Oryzias latipes: one gene and its partners. The protein of the gene in region 2 purifies or fractionates together with the protein of the main gene of each other region. This does not show direct contact. Links are inferred from orthologs where the notes say so. Each region holds a gene or a part of one and is shown on either strand. Other genes may lie near its edges. The genes, in order: upf1, THO complex subunit 4, ncbp1 and c1qbp.

The links.
Region 1: the proteins of THO complex subunit 4 (region 2) and upf1 purify together in Homo sapiens (co-immunoprecipitation; 3 studies listed by BioGRID and IntAct, with this or other methods). This does not show direct contact. The link is inferred for Oryzias latipes from reciprocal best matches to the Homo sapiens genes ALYREF and UPF1.
Region 3: the proteins of THO complex subunit 4 (region 2) and ncbp1 purify together in Homo sapiens (affinity purification with western blotting; 6 studies listed by BioGRID and IntAct, with this or other methods). This does not show direct contact. The link is inferred for Oryzias latipes from reciprocal best matches to the Homo sapiens genes ALYREF and NCBP1.
Region 4: the proteins of THO complex subunit 4 (region 2) and c1qbp purify together in Homo sapiens (affinity purification with mass spectrometry; 3 studies listed by BioGRID and IntAct, with this or other methods). This does not show direct contact. The link is inferred for Oryzias latipes from reciprocal best matches to the Homo sapiens genes ALYREF and C1QBP.

The regions. Positions count from the first base shown.
Region 1 is NC_019862.2:13,852,677-13,856,237, reverse strand, and holds part of upf1 (regulator of nonsense transcripts 1), read right to left. Parts: intron 3,473-3,561; coding exon 3,292-3,472; intron 3,152-3,291; coding exon 2,990-3,151; intron 2,735-2,989; coding exon 2,650-2,734; intron 2,525-2,649; coding exon 2,426-2,524; intron 2,302-2,425; coding exon 2,193-2,301; intron 2,018-2,192; coding exon 1,858-2,017; intron 1,616-1,857; coding exon 1,497-1,615; intron 1,374-1,496; coding exon 1,209-1,373; intron 201-1,208; coding exon 86-200; intron 1-85. UniProt on the Homo sapiens protein: RNA-dependent helicase required for nonsense-mediated decay (NMD) of aberrant mRNAs containing premature stop codons and modulates the expression level of normal mRNAs.
Region 2 is NC_019866.2:15,369,836-15,374,157, forward strand, and holds the start of THO complex subunit 4, read right to left. Parts: upstream 2,802-4,322; 5' UTR 2,655-2,801; coding exon 2,415-2,654; intron 1,065-2,414; coding exon 906-1,064; intron 821-905; coding exon 673-820; intron 579-672; coding exon 515-578; intron 424-514; coding exon 243-423; intron 160-242; coding exon 145-159; 3' UTR 1-144. UniProt on the Homo sapiens protein: Functions as an mRNA export adapter; component of the transcription/export (TREX) complex which is thought to couple mRNA transcription, processing and nuclear export, and specifically associates with spliced mRNA and not with unspliced pre-mRNA.
Region 3 is NC_019868.2:27,750,830-27,755,073, reverse strand, and holds the start of ncbp1 (nuclear cap-binding protein subunit 1), read right to left. Parts: upstream 2,831-4,244; coding exon 2,797-2,830; intron 1,404-2,796; coding exon 1,315-1,403; intron 1,229-1,314; coding exon 1,128-1,228; intron 1,055-1,127; coding exon 898-1,054; intron 814-897; coding exon 706-813; intron 348-705; coding exon 226-347; intron 135-225; coding exon 65-134; intron 1-64. Other genes in the region: tstd2 (thiosulfate sulfurtransferase/rhodanese-like domain-containing protein 2), read left to right, coding at 3,071-3,346. UniProt on the Homo sapiens protein: Component of the cap-binding complex (CBC), which binds cotranscriptionally to the 5'-cap of pre-mRNAs and is involved in various processes such as pre-mRNA splicing, translation regulation, nonsense-mediated mRNA decay, RNA-mediated gene silencing (RNAi) by microRNAs (miRNAs) and mRNA export.
Region 4 is NC_019872.2:21,256,166-21,260,221, reverse strand, and holds c1qbp (complement component 1 Q subcomponent-binding protein, mitochondrial), read right to left. Parts: upstream 2,812-4,056; 5' UTR 2,681-2,811; coding exon 2,428-2,680; intron 1,524-2,427; coding exon 1,373-1,523; intron 1,293-1,372; coding exon 1,199-1,292; intron 1,121-1,198; coding exon 1,025-1,120; intron 944-1,024; coding exon 818-943; intron 740-817; coding exon 590-739; 3' UTR 343-589; downstream 1-342.

The DNA of each region.
Region 1 (3,561 bases), on a different chromosome or scaffold from region 2:
TTTAATGGGCCAGACCAAAAACCCCTTAAGAGTACATAATGTTCTGTCTACCATCAATCATAGTACAAATGCTGAGCTGTCTTACCATGAGCAGCTCCCTCTCAGCTGTGCGCTTCAGAGCCCTGTAACGTTTCTCATCTGCAGACGACAGCTCTCCAGTCTCATCCTTCAGCTGCTGCAGTTTCTGAAGCTCTGGCATACTGTGGAAACCAAGAGAGATAACTCAGTGACTCAAAAGGTCCTGAACTGAATGTACAGTGGCAGGCACACACTGCAACAGTAACCTAAGATCAGGATAAACGAATGGATTTGACTATCAAGTTAAAACTGTAATCCAACTGCCTGCTCTCAAAAAGAAACATAGATTTGCACAATTTAAAACATAAGGAAATCTTTCAAAATTTAACTTGATTTGGGAGGATAGGCTTAATACATTAAAAAGGTACATCAAAATGACAAAAGGTTGTAAAAAATTATCAAAGCCCAAAAACATTCCCAGCAGGACTTGTATAAAAAACATTTTTAAGATTTTTAACAAAGATCCGCTCCAAAGGAAAATTTGTTTTTAACATGTTTTTGTAGAATTTTTCTCATGGAAGACATACAAAAAGGAATTTACGATTAAAACTACATTTCTGAGTATTTCTTTATTCAAACCGCGATGAATCAAGAGATTAATAAATGCCATTTGAAAAACATAGACACTGCAATGGGCGAGCTAAAGTCTCACTGCTACGCTCCATTCCAATACATCCACTAGCAGATCCAATAACGTTTTCATTTTCCTCGTCTGAGCTGGAATCTGGCTCAAAACGGGATGGCTGAATAGATCCGATATTGCTCGCCATTTTTGATGCACCGCTAATGTTAGGTTGGGGTTGTGATGGGCTGTAAGCCAGCGGGCGAGTGCAAACAAAGGGATCTTACTTCCACACCATCAGTCTCAAACACAACTAAGAGGCGAGTTTCTGATGAACTCTTACCGCGTAACAGAAACTCTTAGAAAATGACACATTTTTGGATTTAGGCTAAAATCGGCACAATCATATTGAAAAGACTTCTGGTAACACTTAGATCAAAAGATGAGGATTCCCTTGAAAAAGAGATTCTTAATCTCAATGGGACATTTCCTGGGTAAATAAAGGTTCAATAAAAAATAAAGAAAATGAGTGGACTGTACTTTAACTTCTTGTCTGTGTGCCGCTCACCTGTCCATGTTGCTGATCTGGTTGTGGAGAGCCAGGAAAGACACTGGTGACTCGATGGCTTCTCTGCTCTTAGCACACAGCCTGACAACCTTCAGACCAGTCTTATCAATCTTTTCAGTGAGCTGATCTACAGCTATGTTACTTGGAGCACACACCAGGACTGGCCTAAAAGGACACAAGCACCCATAAAAGCACAATGAGGGATTTATGTAAATGTTTTTGGGAATATTTTTAGATTTGCATAACATTTCTATGCTTGAAGAAGTTTGTTGATTGTGATGGTCCTACCCGTTGCCCTGACGGGATAGGTGGTACACAATTGTGGCAGAAGTGACAGTTTTCCCAGTGCCAGGAGGACCCTGGATTAAACTCAGAGGCCTTTGCAACACTGTCTTTACTGCGTAGACCTGTTTGGGAGGAAAAGGGCAGAAGAGAAAATGAATTATCCGTAATCTTGGCACTTGTAGCAACTAATATTTGGTCTTGTTCTAAAGAAGTCACAAGCCCCACAAAATTTCAAAAACCAAAGGTAAATGACCGTGCTTGAAGGGCATATGACAACAAAAATGACAGTGAATGGGAGTATTGCCCTGAAATGAGTTAAAATTTAACAGCAAGAATCATAGTATCAGCAGAAAGCCAGACTGACCTGCGAGTGATTGAGGTCAGGAAGGCCCTGAGCGGTGAAACGCTTCGGCAGTTGGCACTTGATGGTAACGTCCTCCACCTCGTGGCCCAAAAGTTTGTGATAAATGTAGCCAGAGACCGATGTCTCGTCAACAGCAAAGGTCTTCAGGGCACTCTGCATCCTAAAGGGGTGCAAAAAAAAAAAAAAAGAGTCAACTTAGGAAATACTTGGAATGGAAATCTTCTTACAAATAAAAAAAGAAAAATTAAGGTCACATTACATCCTGTAACATAAAACTTCCTAAATTTTAAGTGTTTTGTCTCATTTGGAGTTCATGGCAGGGCATTTGAGTGTACCTGTCGAAGGAGGTGGATTTCCACACAAAGTCCACCTGGAAGTTATGTGGGATTTCCACAGGAGCTCCAACGCTGCTCCTCAATTCAATAGCAATTTCATCCCCATAGTCTTCAAGCACACGCTGTTAAAGAAACTCTTTTATAGCTATAGTGACGCTGCTGATTTTAAAGAGGGAAATTGTGATGGAAGTCAGTGTGATGCAGCAGATATTCTGCAGCAGTGTAAAGGATACTGTCAGGGACTTTGATGACATGGCCGATGCCCTTCCACAAAGGCGCCAGGTCTCCCTTGTAACGCAGGCAGATCTCATCACCTTGCATTAGGCGCATATCTAGGATGGAAACCATGGTGGGAAATAAATTGCAAAATTTAAAATGAAGTAGAAAAAAAACAAAGTTAATACTTGCAAATAACCAAATAACACAGCAGAATAAAAAAAACTACACAAAAACATACCAGAGTCTGTCTTGGGCAGTGTAAAATATGCAATGCGCTTCTTGTTCAGCCCCAGGTCCCACCTGACTGTTATGTTGTCTTGAGTCTAGAAAAAAAGAAAGAAGTATAACTGATTATAAATAATATATTATAATATTATAATATTTATTATAATATTAAAATTATAATAAAGAAAAATGCTGCCAGATTGCAACTCCAAAGTGGAATTGTTTCCACATTAACTGTTATACAAGAGAAAACAGGAAGTCCAAATGATCCTTGTAGCTCTGTTTTTATTGCAAAAACAGCCCCTTAAATGACTAATTTTTATTGAGCCACTATTACTTGGTCAATCAGTCACCTGTGACTCCTTCAGCTTCTTGTCATAATCAGCCTCCAGCTTGACCAAAGGACCAAAGATGTTTTGGTACTGGTAAGCATCCTCATAACGCAGCAGCACATGCTGGGGCTCCTCGTCCACGCCAGGCTTCTCCAGGTCTTCCAGTGCAGCGGTGGGATTGTCCTGTTACCATGGAAACAGAATCAGAACCAATAATAAAACACTGAAATCAGACTGAGTTCATTCTGCTCTAATGAAGTTACTTTTTCCTTTTATTTGGGTTCAACTTTTGTTTAAGCACCCCAAAAGGTGAATCTGCATACCTTCCAGAGTTCCTCCAGCTTATTGATCTGCTGAGCGGTGATCTGACGAGCTCGCAGCTGCTCCTGCTCCGATGGGATCTTCACCAGCCAGGACAGAAAACAGCGGTCCTGAATCAGTGGTTGCCACTGGGAGCTGTCCCAGTTGATGTCCTTTAGGCTACTCTGGCTAGCACAGGGCTGCCTGCATGAACATACACGATTCAGATGAAATTATTTTAAAAATAACCGACAAATAAAAAAATGCACCACTCACAACCTAATGCCTCGCTC
Region 2 (4,322 bases):
AACACTTTGGAGTATTTAAAAGAAGAGGTTGGAACAATTTCAATCACATCAGAAGACAAGTGTAAAATATTCTGCACATCTGTAACAAGCACCCCTTTCTGTGCAGACAGGGAGGGATGACGTCAACTAGGATGGGAGGTTTCCTTAACTGGTATCCATCTGAGAAAACAAGAGGTGAAACAGAATTAGGACAGCTGCAAAACAACTTCAACAGAAGATGCTTTCTATTTTGACAGATGTACCCTGGCATTGTAAGCATCTAACTGGGCGTCAAGCTCTTCTGCCGATAGCGGTTGCTTGGGGGCACCGCCGCGCCCCCCCCGCCCTCTTCCTCTGGGACCACCTGCACCACGGACCCCTCGGCCTCTTTGCATCCCTCCGAAACCCCGATTTCTACTCATGCCTCCACCACCTCTGTTCATACTGGTAAAACAAAACAAATACACAAAGAAAATGTAATTGGGGTTTACACAACAGCCTGTTTCCAGTTTCCCAAGAATCCATGCTTACTTACCCCTGCATAGGCCGCCTCTGTGTGTCGATCTGTGATGTGACGAGCTGAATGTTCATAGGCCGCCCTAAACACAAATTAGGCTTTAATCTTGGGAAGATCAACTAATATTTAAATGTATTTATCTAATTAAATAAATCTGTAATAAAGTAGAAGAATACCATCAAGAGGAATGCCATTGTACTGTTTCATGGCTTTCAGGGCATCTGCCCTCCTTTCAAAGTGGACATCTGCCGTTCCAAGGCTTCTTCCTGATCTGTCGTAATGAACTGCAGCTTTCTTTAGAGTCCCAAATTCAGCAAAGAGTTCCTTCGATAAAAAAAAAAAAAGTCAAAACTAAGTCATCAATTAAAAAAAAAAAACATCACCATCAGATATGCTAGCTAAGTTGTACCTGGATGTCTGCGTCTGACACCCCAAAGTCCAGATTGGAGACGAGGAGCTTTCCTCCCGTTTCCACACCAGCTCCTCCGCCACCTCCAGCAGCCCCATTGAAGCCGCTGAAGCCGTTGTCAAACATGTCGTGCTGCCATTTATCGGGAAGCTGTTTGGGCTGCAACAGACGAAAGAGAACGCACCTGCTGACTTCAGGATCCCCTGCCTCTGTCTTTCACAGAGTCCACACGGCTGGGTGTTGGTGCAAGCAGGTGCTCCACTTCCAACACGGCCAGGGTGCTCAGCAGACCCCCCCATGATCCCTGCCCACCCCATCGTTACAATCACGTGAATCACTTCAGACAGAAATACACAAATTTAAAAATAGCTATTTTGGTGTTTTGATACAGAAAATTTCAATGTTTTACTACTTGTAAAGTAAGACAAAAAGCTGACAGATATTTAAACTAATCATTTTCATACATTAACTTTAAAAAATCTTTACATGAACCAAAAATCCGCCCCAAACTAGCTAGCATAACCCCGTCGTTTCTTGCCATCTGCTACTCCACCAACTGCTCTGTCTGTCGACATGCTCCTCAGGCACACGAGGGGGGGTCCCCGGCAGAAGCAGCCTCGCATCCCGCGTTGCGCCGCTTGTCCAGGCTCACAACAGTCCTTTGTCAGGCCACAATTCGACTTTCATGAAGAAATGTCTTTAGGATGTTACAGGTGAAGAACATTTTGGGGGGAAAGAAGCCGATAGCCCCCTTTTTAGTGCGTGGAGTACGCGGACGTCCATTTTGAAACCACGCCATTTTGATCGGGGCTTTGTTTGGGTTGCATTTATATTCATTCACACCCCAGGAGTGAAGATTGGGCTTCTTTTTACAAAAAAAAAAAAAAAAATAAAGGAAATTTGAGGGGATTAAGTATGAGTCCACGTATCCATCCATATGTGACATTTGGTGAAAAGCCTTTTGGGTGGGATTTTAAGAAACCCCGTCAGCCATTCCTGGGACAAAAGGCCGCCTTGAAGATGTAGCAGGACGTTGGAAGGAATGTGATTCCGTAGCAATGGAAAAAACGTGCAGGAACCTTCTCAGCGATGTAGGCATCCTTTTCTTTCCAGACCATTACGACACTTGGGGTAAAACATCATTTTGACGCCAAATTGTATTCGAGGTTGTTGGATTCAAAATGGCGCTGAGACCTTCACGATCCGGCAGGTTAGCCAATGTGGCTAACATAGTCGCTCCTCAAGCAGCTTCTTCTTGAAAAGTGGTGCGACACATATAGGTTGTGGGAGAAGGGACATATTATGCAAACAACCTCCATTTATGCTTATCCACAAACTATAGAGCTCTCCTCTAAGGGAAACTCAGCGGTAAGCAACCATTTTAATGGCTTGACTAGCTAGGTGATTAGCCGTCAAGCCAAATGGAGAAAAGAAGACGTAAACCAGGAATTTTCAGCTTTGACGAAGGTTTTTTTCCTTCCAATGCCCATTCGTCTAACTTTCTCATACCCTGCTATAAGGCGTTGGTCTGCCTCTAGCGCGGCTCAGGTTCTGTCGGGTCCTCATGGGGCCTGATCCTCCGCCTCGGCCTCCAAATCCGCCGCCGCCACCACCAAGACGCCCAAGGCCTCCTCCACGGGCACCGCCTGAGCCTCCGCGGCCTCGGCCTCTTCCCCCACGGGCTCCGCCTCTACTCTGCCTGTTCAGCTTGATAATGTCGTCTAGAGACATATCCATCTTATCCGCCATTATGCTGCCCCGATAACTCTAAAGCACTGTAAAGATTTAAATTGTCTTAAAACACCCTGGACTAAGCTGTTCCCTCTCTTCGTCCGTAGATTTACGCTCTCTGGTCCAAGTACTAAGCACAATGAAAAGCGCCCACAAGCTGTAGAAAAGCTGATTGGTTGGAGAACACGTACTCTTGACGTCATTACGTTAAAAACTACAACAACTCTTTACCGCCCTCTACTGGAAACTAAAACATTATTCCTAAAAAACGCCATACATGGGTGTGTTCAGTTCATAGTAACACTAAAAGAAGCAATCAAAGCATTAAATCAAACACTTTTAACTATATCTCTATAACGAAACTGAATAACATAAAAAAAAATACTTTTAGACTTTAAATTACATTGAAAACAAATAGGCTAAGGCACTTCTTTAAACAAACAAAAATGTGGTTTCATATTTCAAATGAAATTTGTATTGAATTGATTTTTTATTTAGATGTGACTATGACCTAAAGAAAACTTTCTTAGTTTGATCAAGAAACGTTATTATAATGAATGCTTAAATTGGACAACACCCTGAACTCTCAATATGCATATTATAAATACAAATTGGATCTCTTTTTGATGAGACACGTCAGCAAATCTGCTAAGAAGTTGAAATTAATTTGATCTCAAAAGATTAATTTTGCATAAAAAGATAGCAATTCAAAGTATTATTCAAAATTTTGCTCTTCTTCATACTACAATAAGGATTAAAAAAGCACCCTGCACGAGAATGCATGATTGTATTCTTCCTTCACATTCATTTGAAATATGTAAATAACAAATATAAATGCAACTCTATTGTTTTGATTTGAAGGTAGTAGTATTTTTAAGACCAACAACTTCTTCACCTAATTAGAAAACAAACAAAAAAGAAAGTTTCCCTCTTGTTCTTTTATTGAAACCTTTCCTACATTGATTGTTTCTGAGCTACATGGCTCTGTTTGTCTGTAAACTCTACCTCTGTTAATTGCACGTTATTATAAAGAAATAACAAAAAACTGGTATTGCTGTTATTAATAAAAAAAGCAAAAGAATTACTTTCCTAATAATTGTGGGTGTAAAAAAAGTGAAAATCAAAGATATAATCAATCTGTAAAGCTAAACTACAAATACAGTTATGTATATTTAAAAATAGCTGAATTTTAGTGGGGTGGGGGATATACTGGGGAGTTTTTAACCTCTTATTTATGATCGTTTTCCATACTTTTAGCTAACGTTTGTTCCGAGGAAAAAAACAGCCTAACACTGATTACTGTTCATTGTATTATAACAAACATACATGAGTGTCAAACCAAGCAGAAGTTCTGTAAAAGTCTTTTATTCAACATTTTGCTTCCAAGGCTTAGAGGAAGGAGATAAGAGCTGCATTCCTGCATTCACTACTCAACAATGTCCATCCCAGGGCAAGAAAAATGTATAATAATAATAATAATAATAAAAAAAATGTTGGCCTTCCACATTGTATTTTGGTTTCCAAAACAAGCCCACTAAGAGGATATCCATTGAGATCATTCTACTGTTTATCAATTGGTTTTCCAAAAAATAAAAACAGAAGTCAGCCCTTTCATATTTTCTTTCAAAGTCATCAGGGTACATTTGGTAGTAGAGGGTTTAAGTCTTGTGTCCTCGTTTTTTGTGC
Region 3 (4,244 bases), on a different chromosome or scaffold from region 2:
TTCGATCCTTCTAATGCATCTTTTTAGACTTGCGTTTCAAAACCTGCTTGTCCAAAAGGCTCACCTCTTCCTGTGGATGTGGTTTCTCAGCGGTCCACACCTGCAGCATGGGGACGTGAGTCTTCACCCTCCTCCTGTCCAGGAACACAGCAGAGCGCTGGAGTCAGTCCAACAACAGCTTCAATGGAAAGCAAAAGATGCTCCAGAAAAGAGGCCGCGTCTCACTTGAGGTAGCCTTCGATCTGGCTCAGGAGTCGGTCCATCTCCACGTCCTTCTTCTCATAAAGTTCCTTGCCGACCCACGGCAGGCAGGACAGAACCACGTACACGAACCAGTCCAACCGAACCTGGAGCCAAAAGGGTCTCACGCTTACTGATCTTCATCTTCAAGTCAAATTGAGAAGCTGAAAAATCGTTTTTGTATAAATCTAAAACTATTTTTACACAGAAAACAATCATTTTTATTTTTGATTGGACTGCAGTTCTCCCAAAACCAAGTCATGGAATTTTGAGTCGTCATTGAGAACATCAGATGATACAAAAATAAAGGAGTTTGCTGAATTTGAAATGGGGAAACTCAGACGTTGCAGTAAAACAAAAGGAGGCGCCTTAAATGTGACATTAAGTAAAAAAAGAACGGGATGTTCATAAACTGAAACTTCTGATGCAAACAAATATTCCAGGTGAGGCCGTGCAGAAACAAACCTGTGGCACATCTTCTTCCTGAGTAACACTGATGAAGTTTTCAAACATGGCTACCATGGAAGGGGCAGCGATCACGTGACAGTTGACCAAGTCTGACAGAAAGCGCACCTGAAGAGAGCAGAGAACTTAAACGATGCCGAGAGCAAAAGGCGCTGCAGCAGCTGCGAGTTTAGACATTGAACATCAACAGACCAAGTAAACGGCTTCGTTGTAGAAGTTGTTTTTCAGCGTCTCCTTCAGCTGCCGGATCATGGCCTCCACAAACTCTCCCCCAAAGTTGTAGTTCCTGGCGTTCAGGAGGCCGACTAACGTCGTGTAGACTGTCAGCTTCTCCGGCAGGAGGCGGGCTCTGTCGAAAGACGCGTTTGTGAAAACGGACCGTTTGTTACGCTTGAGAATGAGGAGAACTGCGGACAACTTACACTGCACATAAAATACGCAGGATTTTGTTTTTGTAGTTTGGAAGGTCCGCCTCCAAAACCCCTGCGAGCCCCTCCAGGTTGCTCTCGAGGGACGATGTACTCTTTTAAAAGATCAAAGACGGACTTTAGTTATTGCAAATTATTTAAATAGTAAATATATGGCTTTATGACAAAACGGCCATCGTACTTTTTCTCCAACGCGACATATCAGCGACTCCAGGCGGTCTTCAATCTCAATAGGCTCTGATGTTCTCCTCCTTTTGTGGGCTTGACCTCCTAAAAATGAAAAGGACAGAACTTAAACCTCTGACCTGAGAGGACACTGAAGACAGAAAAACAAATCTACGTTTTGGGGGGAAAATAGTGTATTCGTCTCATAAAATCTAGTGTTTCGACAGTCACACATACTCCATCTGACTTTACTGGAGGTTTCCTCCTATATACTTTAGGTAAACAGAAGAAAAATGGAGAATATTGTGTCTAGGGCTAAAGACAAACAGTTGGACGTCAGCCTGCCGGAGAGCCTCAGAGACCGTAGAGATTTTTCAGAAGAAGCACAAAACCCATCTTTTTAACATCGCTTTGAGATAATTTCATCTGGTTAAAATAAAGATCTGATGTCTAAGCAGGACTTGGCCAAACTTGTTTATGTGTTAAGTCGATCTTTAGTCGACTTGACTACTGTTCCAGTGTTTTTGCTGGACGATACGGCAGCGTATTCAGAACTCTGCTGCTCGGGTCCTTCAAAGGAGCCAAATATTAGACCACATCAGTCCAGTTCTGACCTGTCCGGTAATCTGGATCTGCTCTTTCGTCAGTACCTAGAGTCGAAATCAAACACGAAGAAGCTGCATTCAGCTTCTATGCTCTGTAGATCTGGAACAGACTACCAGAATTAAGCCTTGGATCAGCTGAAACACTCAGTTTATTTAAATGCAGGTTGGTATTTACTTCAGTTCTTTAAATTTTTATTTTGGTGATAACTCCTTTAATATTTCTGTTAAATTTTTCTTTTAGTGTTTTATGTAAAGGACCTTGAATTGCCTTTGTACATAAAATGTGCTTAAGAAATAAACTTGCCTTGCTGATTCTCTCCTTACTGAAATCTCTGAATGAAAGGTAAACACTCAATGGAAGCCAATAGAAGTCATTTATACATACAATGACAAATACATACTAAACTAATCCTACATTATATAAAAATATTGTTAGGTCTGATATTTTTTTAGTGTGGAACCGTGAGACACTTTGGTTGTGAATGTTCCTTTATAAATCACAAAATCCACAGGGCTGTAACATCACGTTTCCATGCGCATGATGATGAACCCACAGAAAAAGTGTCTCTTTCAACACTTACGCCAGTCTTTACAAACATTAAATGTGTTTTGTGTGCCAGAAACCGTTATAAAACATAAATCTGGCCGTTAGCGTTAGCTAAAGTAGCTAACTAACGGAACCGGGTTTTTCTGGTAAAACTTAATCTCTTAAAAATCATTTTTTAAAATCCCCTAATTTATTTAGTAGCTTTAAAAAAATACTTGATATTGGGGCAACGCCTGCTATCGTTGCATTCCTTTAAAGTTATAGCACATACAGATAATCAAGGTAGCTGTAGCTAGCTGCCGCGTTAGCCGTAACGTTTGAATCGCACATGCAGCGCGCGACTTGCCGTCACTGTCGTCGCTGTGTCTCCTCCTGGACATGTTGTCCCCCCTGAGCTGCACGCGTGCAGACACCCGGTGTAAAAAAAATAACGCGGGACAGACCGGTGGATCCGGGAAAAGCTTTGCTTATTTTGAACGGCAGAGTCCGGAGGCGGCAGCAGCAGCAACAGCAGCTTCTTACAGAGAAATAACAGCGGAGCGATTGAAATGATGGACATCCGGGTCATTCAAGGTACAACCGGAAGCTGAACTTCCACTTCCGGTGAGCTGCACACTCGCATGGAAATACAAGGGTATTTACCGCGTTTGAGAACTTATATCTCTCTTTTTGTCAGTATTTACGCGTTCTATCACAAAGTTGCGTTTTTTACGATCACAAACATATTTGTCGTGCATTTAATTTGCCAGTTGAGGAGAATGGCAGCCAGTGAAGCAGTCTGCTCAGAGTTTCTGAACTGGGAGGTCAACACGTCGATGGTTGATCATGGATCAATTAAGCAAAACAAACACATTTCTGCTGCTCACAGAAAATATTACAGGTTCTGCAGGAGAAAGGTAGGAGAATATCTGGCTTCTCTTTCCACAAAGACAACGCAGAATGATTGAAAACAGAATAAAAAATGACTAAACTAATCTAAACTAAATATTGATTCTGACCCAATTCTGGGCAGTTTGCATCTTTTATATATTAGTAATATTATTACTACTAGGTAGTAATATTATTACTACCTAAGGTATTCAAGACATGAAAGTTAGAGAATATCTTTGGTATTTGTTTTTGTTTTTCTGTGTATCAAATCTAATCAATCTTTATTTATGTAAAATTTATATAATTCTAGAACATGATAACACAAAGTGCTTTACACCAAAACAAACAACATAAAAAAGGCACAACAATTTAGAAATAGATCCTGTAGTTAAAAACATATTTGACCATTTTACAGTTGAAAACTCACCTTTCACCAGGCGTTCATTAAATGATTACTTTATATTTAGTGAGGCACATTTACCTTCTGTCCTGGGACAACAAATAGAGGGGGGGGGGCTTTTGGCCAACTGGTAAATTTGCAGAGAGGCTTTTTTTTAGTGTTTGATGTCACAAACAAACAAATACATAAAAAAAAATTTGTTGCTTCTTTTAAATTGTCACTTTAGACATATAAAATTCTTCCCTGTTTTTGTCATAAACAGATTATTACCGTTTACCGGACCAAATAGATGTAAATCAATGCTTAAATCATTTATAGATATGTAATATATTTCAGGCTTGATCAGAGTATTGACAGGCCAAAATTTGGCTCATTACGTAAATATTGACGTGAACCTCAATGATGATGATGATGATGATGATGATTCAAGACATCACATTTAGAAACTCCTTTAGTCGGTCCAACTTTTTTGGAAACCATATATTTCTGGAAGTATTTGAAACAGAATACATTTGCTTGATTGA
Region 4 (4,056 bases), on a different chromosome or scaffold from region 2:
GGGGGGCGGGGTTGCTTCTTAGGAGGAGCTTAAGGTTTGATCAACCTCTATTGCACATAAACAGTTTAATATTGTTTTTCCATTTGTTTCCTTTAAACAGTTCTATTCATTTCTAAATTATAAAGAATCTTTCAAATAATTTCAGTTTTGAAGCATCTGAACTTGTTCAAGTTTTACTGTATTGAGAAAAATGTAAGGTGATGATTATGATCTAAAACCTTGAATTGGTTCTGTGTGGAATTTGTGTGTATTTATTTTGTTTTTAAGCCACCAACAAAATGTCAATGTTCCTCAATAAACATAAAAACTTCCTAAAGTAAAACCTCAGAATGTGACAAATTCTCGAATGAAAACTGACAATTCTCTTTATTAGCTTTAGAACAGGTCTTGATTGAACGTTTACACATTTAAAGGGGACATGAGATGTAAAATAGAGGCTGAGAAACTAAATGATCACTATGGCTGACAAATATTTCTATTGAAGTTACAGAAAAACAAGCAACATTCTTGTTGCCGGGTGCCAAACATGAGTCTTGAGTGCTTTAGTCCTTTGAAATTTCATCTGGAGAACAGACAGTTAAGTTAAATATTAGTTACATTTGACAAAGCTTTGGAGATCTTCCAGGAACTTGATGTACTCTTGGTGCTCTATGGCAGTGCTGAGCTCCATGAGCTCGTCTGTGAAGGTGTTATCAATGCCGCGGTCGGCCAGGAAGTCCATCAAATGATCGTACAGCGCCTAAAAAGAACCCAGCAGAGTTGAGAACATCCCACCTTCATGACCCCCCGTGTGCTCATGGTTCACAGCAGCTCTTACCCAGTCCAGGGAGTCTGTGTTGAGGGTGTAGCTGGTCTCCTTCCACTCAGAGTCTCCCTCTGGCTGAAAGCTGACCTCCCGGATGGCAAAGATGTCGCTCTCCTCCTCCCCCTCACCATGACTCATCTACATTGGATAAAGTCGGCACCTTTTTACCTAACCACTTCATCCAGAAGTTTTTCTTTCTTTCTTCGTTTTAATTCATACCTCATCCTCAGGGAAATGACAGTCAAACACGAGCGTGTGCTTCCCATTCTGTTTTGTTACTTCAACAACAAAGTTTGGCGTAGATACAATCTCTGGCTACAAAGGAAAACAACAACTAGTGAGCATAAATAAATGATAAGATCACAAATCTAGAAGGTAATTCGAAAGCTTCACCTCTTCCTCTGCTGGTTTCTGCTGCTGCTGCGCTTCCTCCTCCTCCTCAAAGCTTGGAGGGATGCTGTTGTTAACGTTGAATGTGACCGTCACTCTGAAGACAGAAAATAAAAGCTGCTTTGCAGGAACTCCTACACGGTCACTTTGTCCTCAGAGAGTGAGCCATCGCCTTACTTTTCACCAGAAAGGTGTCTTGTGAGTTTGGCCTCTGTGCCGTTCATCTCAAGCTCCCATCCTCCAGACATCTTAGGAAGGGTTTTGTTTTTCTGGATCTTCTTTTCCTCTTTGATTTCATCGGACAGGAAGTTACCAAACGCTTTGTCTCCTGAGAAAAAGACAACAGATTTAGGTGAAACTGTGTGATGTAGAATGGACAACTTGATAAAAAACATGAATCCACATTTCACACAGGATGGGATGACAACATAACTTTATATGAGTAAACTATTGGCTTCGGCAGAGGGGATTTGGAAAAACTTATCAGTGAACCTTAATGTTTTATGTTTAAACATGTGACAAGTTAGAGGTGAAAAAACTTGATAAAATGCATTATCTGAAACAATTGTTACACAATTACATACAAAATACCTACATCGTGTAGAATCTTTAAGTGTTGATGGATAACACACCAGCGGAATATTCAAAAAAACAAATGCTGACTGAGTAAATACAGATGTAAATATAAAGGGACTCTTCACTTGTGATTAGTTTAAAATGTTAAAAGCTCCACTCCAATCACCTCCCGCTCGATTGTAAAAGCGTTCACAGTGGGGTTTTTTTAAAAATAATAATTTTGACGTTTTTAGCCAAATCTTTATAAAACCTGTGTCGTTTTCCAGGAGCAATTTCTGCCGAGTGGAAGGAGTAAAGAAAAAAAAAAAAGAAATAAAAACAAGCACTTTTAATGAGGAAAATCGGGTCACTGTAAAATTCAAATAGTTTGTGAAGTCTGGAAATTAGCAGTACTGTTGCTAAGCGACAAGTTAAAACATCAGTTGATTGTTTATCATCTAAAGCTTTGCCTGCCAAAGTGATGTCAGCTCTTTAGCTCCTAAACCAGGATGCAGCACGCTCGCCGTGTCGTCTAAAACCCCAATTAACCGCCACGTGTCTTTCAATTTTGTAAGCAACTTAAGCTGTTTTGCTGCTTTAAATAACCCAAACTTGTGTTTACAGGTTCTCTTTTTTTTTTAGATAAATGAAACAAAAACATGCGGACGTTCAGCTACCTTCCGTGTGCAGCCCTCCACATCCACACGACACAGACGGACTTAGTACTTTTGAGCTGAACAGTTTAGGTCTGTATCCCGACGGGGCTCCGTTACTGTTCAACATCCACAGGGAGCGGGTGAAGGGCCGAGATGCAACCGAACCAGGAGAGCGGTTGGTCGGACAGCTGAGCGGCAGAGCCCGTGCAGCAGCGGATGGTGCCGAGGACAGCCGAACAGCAGCTCCCACCGCGCGGACCAGAGACTTTAGCATGATACTATAAACTGTTTAAAGAAGAGAGAAAAATAAGAACACGCAGGCACCGACGTACTACCAGGAACGCTTCTAGAAGACACCGGCAACACGTGTGGAAGGGCACATTGACCTAGCGTAACTATGACCCCTGAACCGGAAGTAGTACTTAGTTCAGTAAACATTAGTTTTATATCAAATAGTTGACTTTACTTTACTAAACACTAAACACTAACTGATTATATATGATGGTAAAATAGGATGGTAAAATTAAATGGAAAAACATTTTTAAAAAATAGCTGAAAAAATATGATGCACTTTTAAAAAACGTAGTGCATTTTCAGTGGCGCCCCCCTGTGTCTTCGATGTGAATGTTTTATTAGAGATTGTCTGCCTTCTTTAGTGGCGGGAGTTCTTTATTTATTTATAATAAACTCGACAGCACATACAAGTGAAATAAAATTTGATTAAATAAGAAATATCAATACAATCTCAACCGGTAGAGGCCCGTCATGTAGAAACATTGCATCATCCTTTGCGACAATATATATTGAAATTGTAGTCTTGCTGCCATCAGATGGTGCTGTCTGACATGTTTTTAAACCATTCAACGCCCACTATACAGCCAATTCATTTTTTAAGATAAATTTATATGCTTTTTAAACCCCTTTATCAAAGCCACGAAAATTTGCTAAATATATATATATAAATATATGTAAAAAGATTATTTTCTATTCTATAAAAAAATGTGTTCACCATGGAAACTACTGTTTTCTAAGTTAGGAAATTCTGTAACGGTTTGGACTGAATCTGCTAATTTACAAACTATCGGTTGCGACTGTGACCGCACTTTTTTTTTTTTTTTTTAAGGAATCAGTTTGAAAAAAAAAGTCTCTTTGTTGTCAGACTTCCCTAAAGACAGTACAAAAGCACAAAAGCAACTTGAGAGATTTATGTCCCCACATTTTTGAAGGAAATTATTCAGACCTAAAGGGTGAGTTTAGTGGTGTTTTTTTTTAAGTTTCTTTTTTTAACTTTTCTTTATGAACACAGTAGCTTCTGTGAATTTAGCACAGATAATGTTACCATGAATTCCTGATAAATGTTGTAATTATCTTGACTATTTCACATATAATTTAATTATTTGAATTTTACATATATACATACATGTAAATATAGACCAAGAGCTTTTATGTATCTATCTTTACTAAACCTTTTTAAAGGTAGTGGCTGTAGATAAGTTTGCATTCTTATGTGGATGGAAATTCTGCTGTTGAAAAAAGGCCAGAAATGATGCAAAATGTTACTAAAAAAACTCCCATAATTTCCATGTTATTGACTTGATACCACTGTAAGTTAGTTCATATTATATCATAAGGATTTGTCAGTAAGACAAG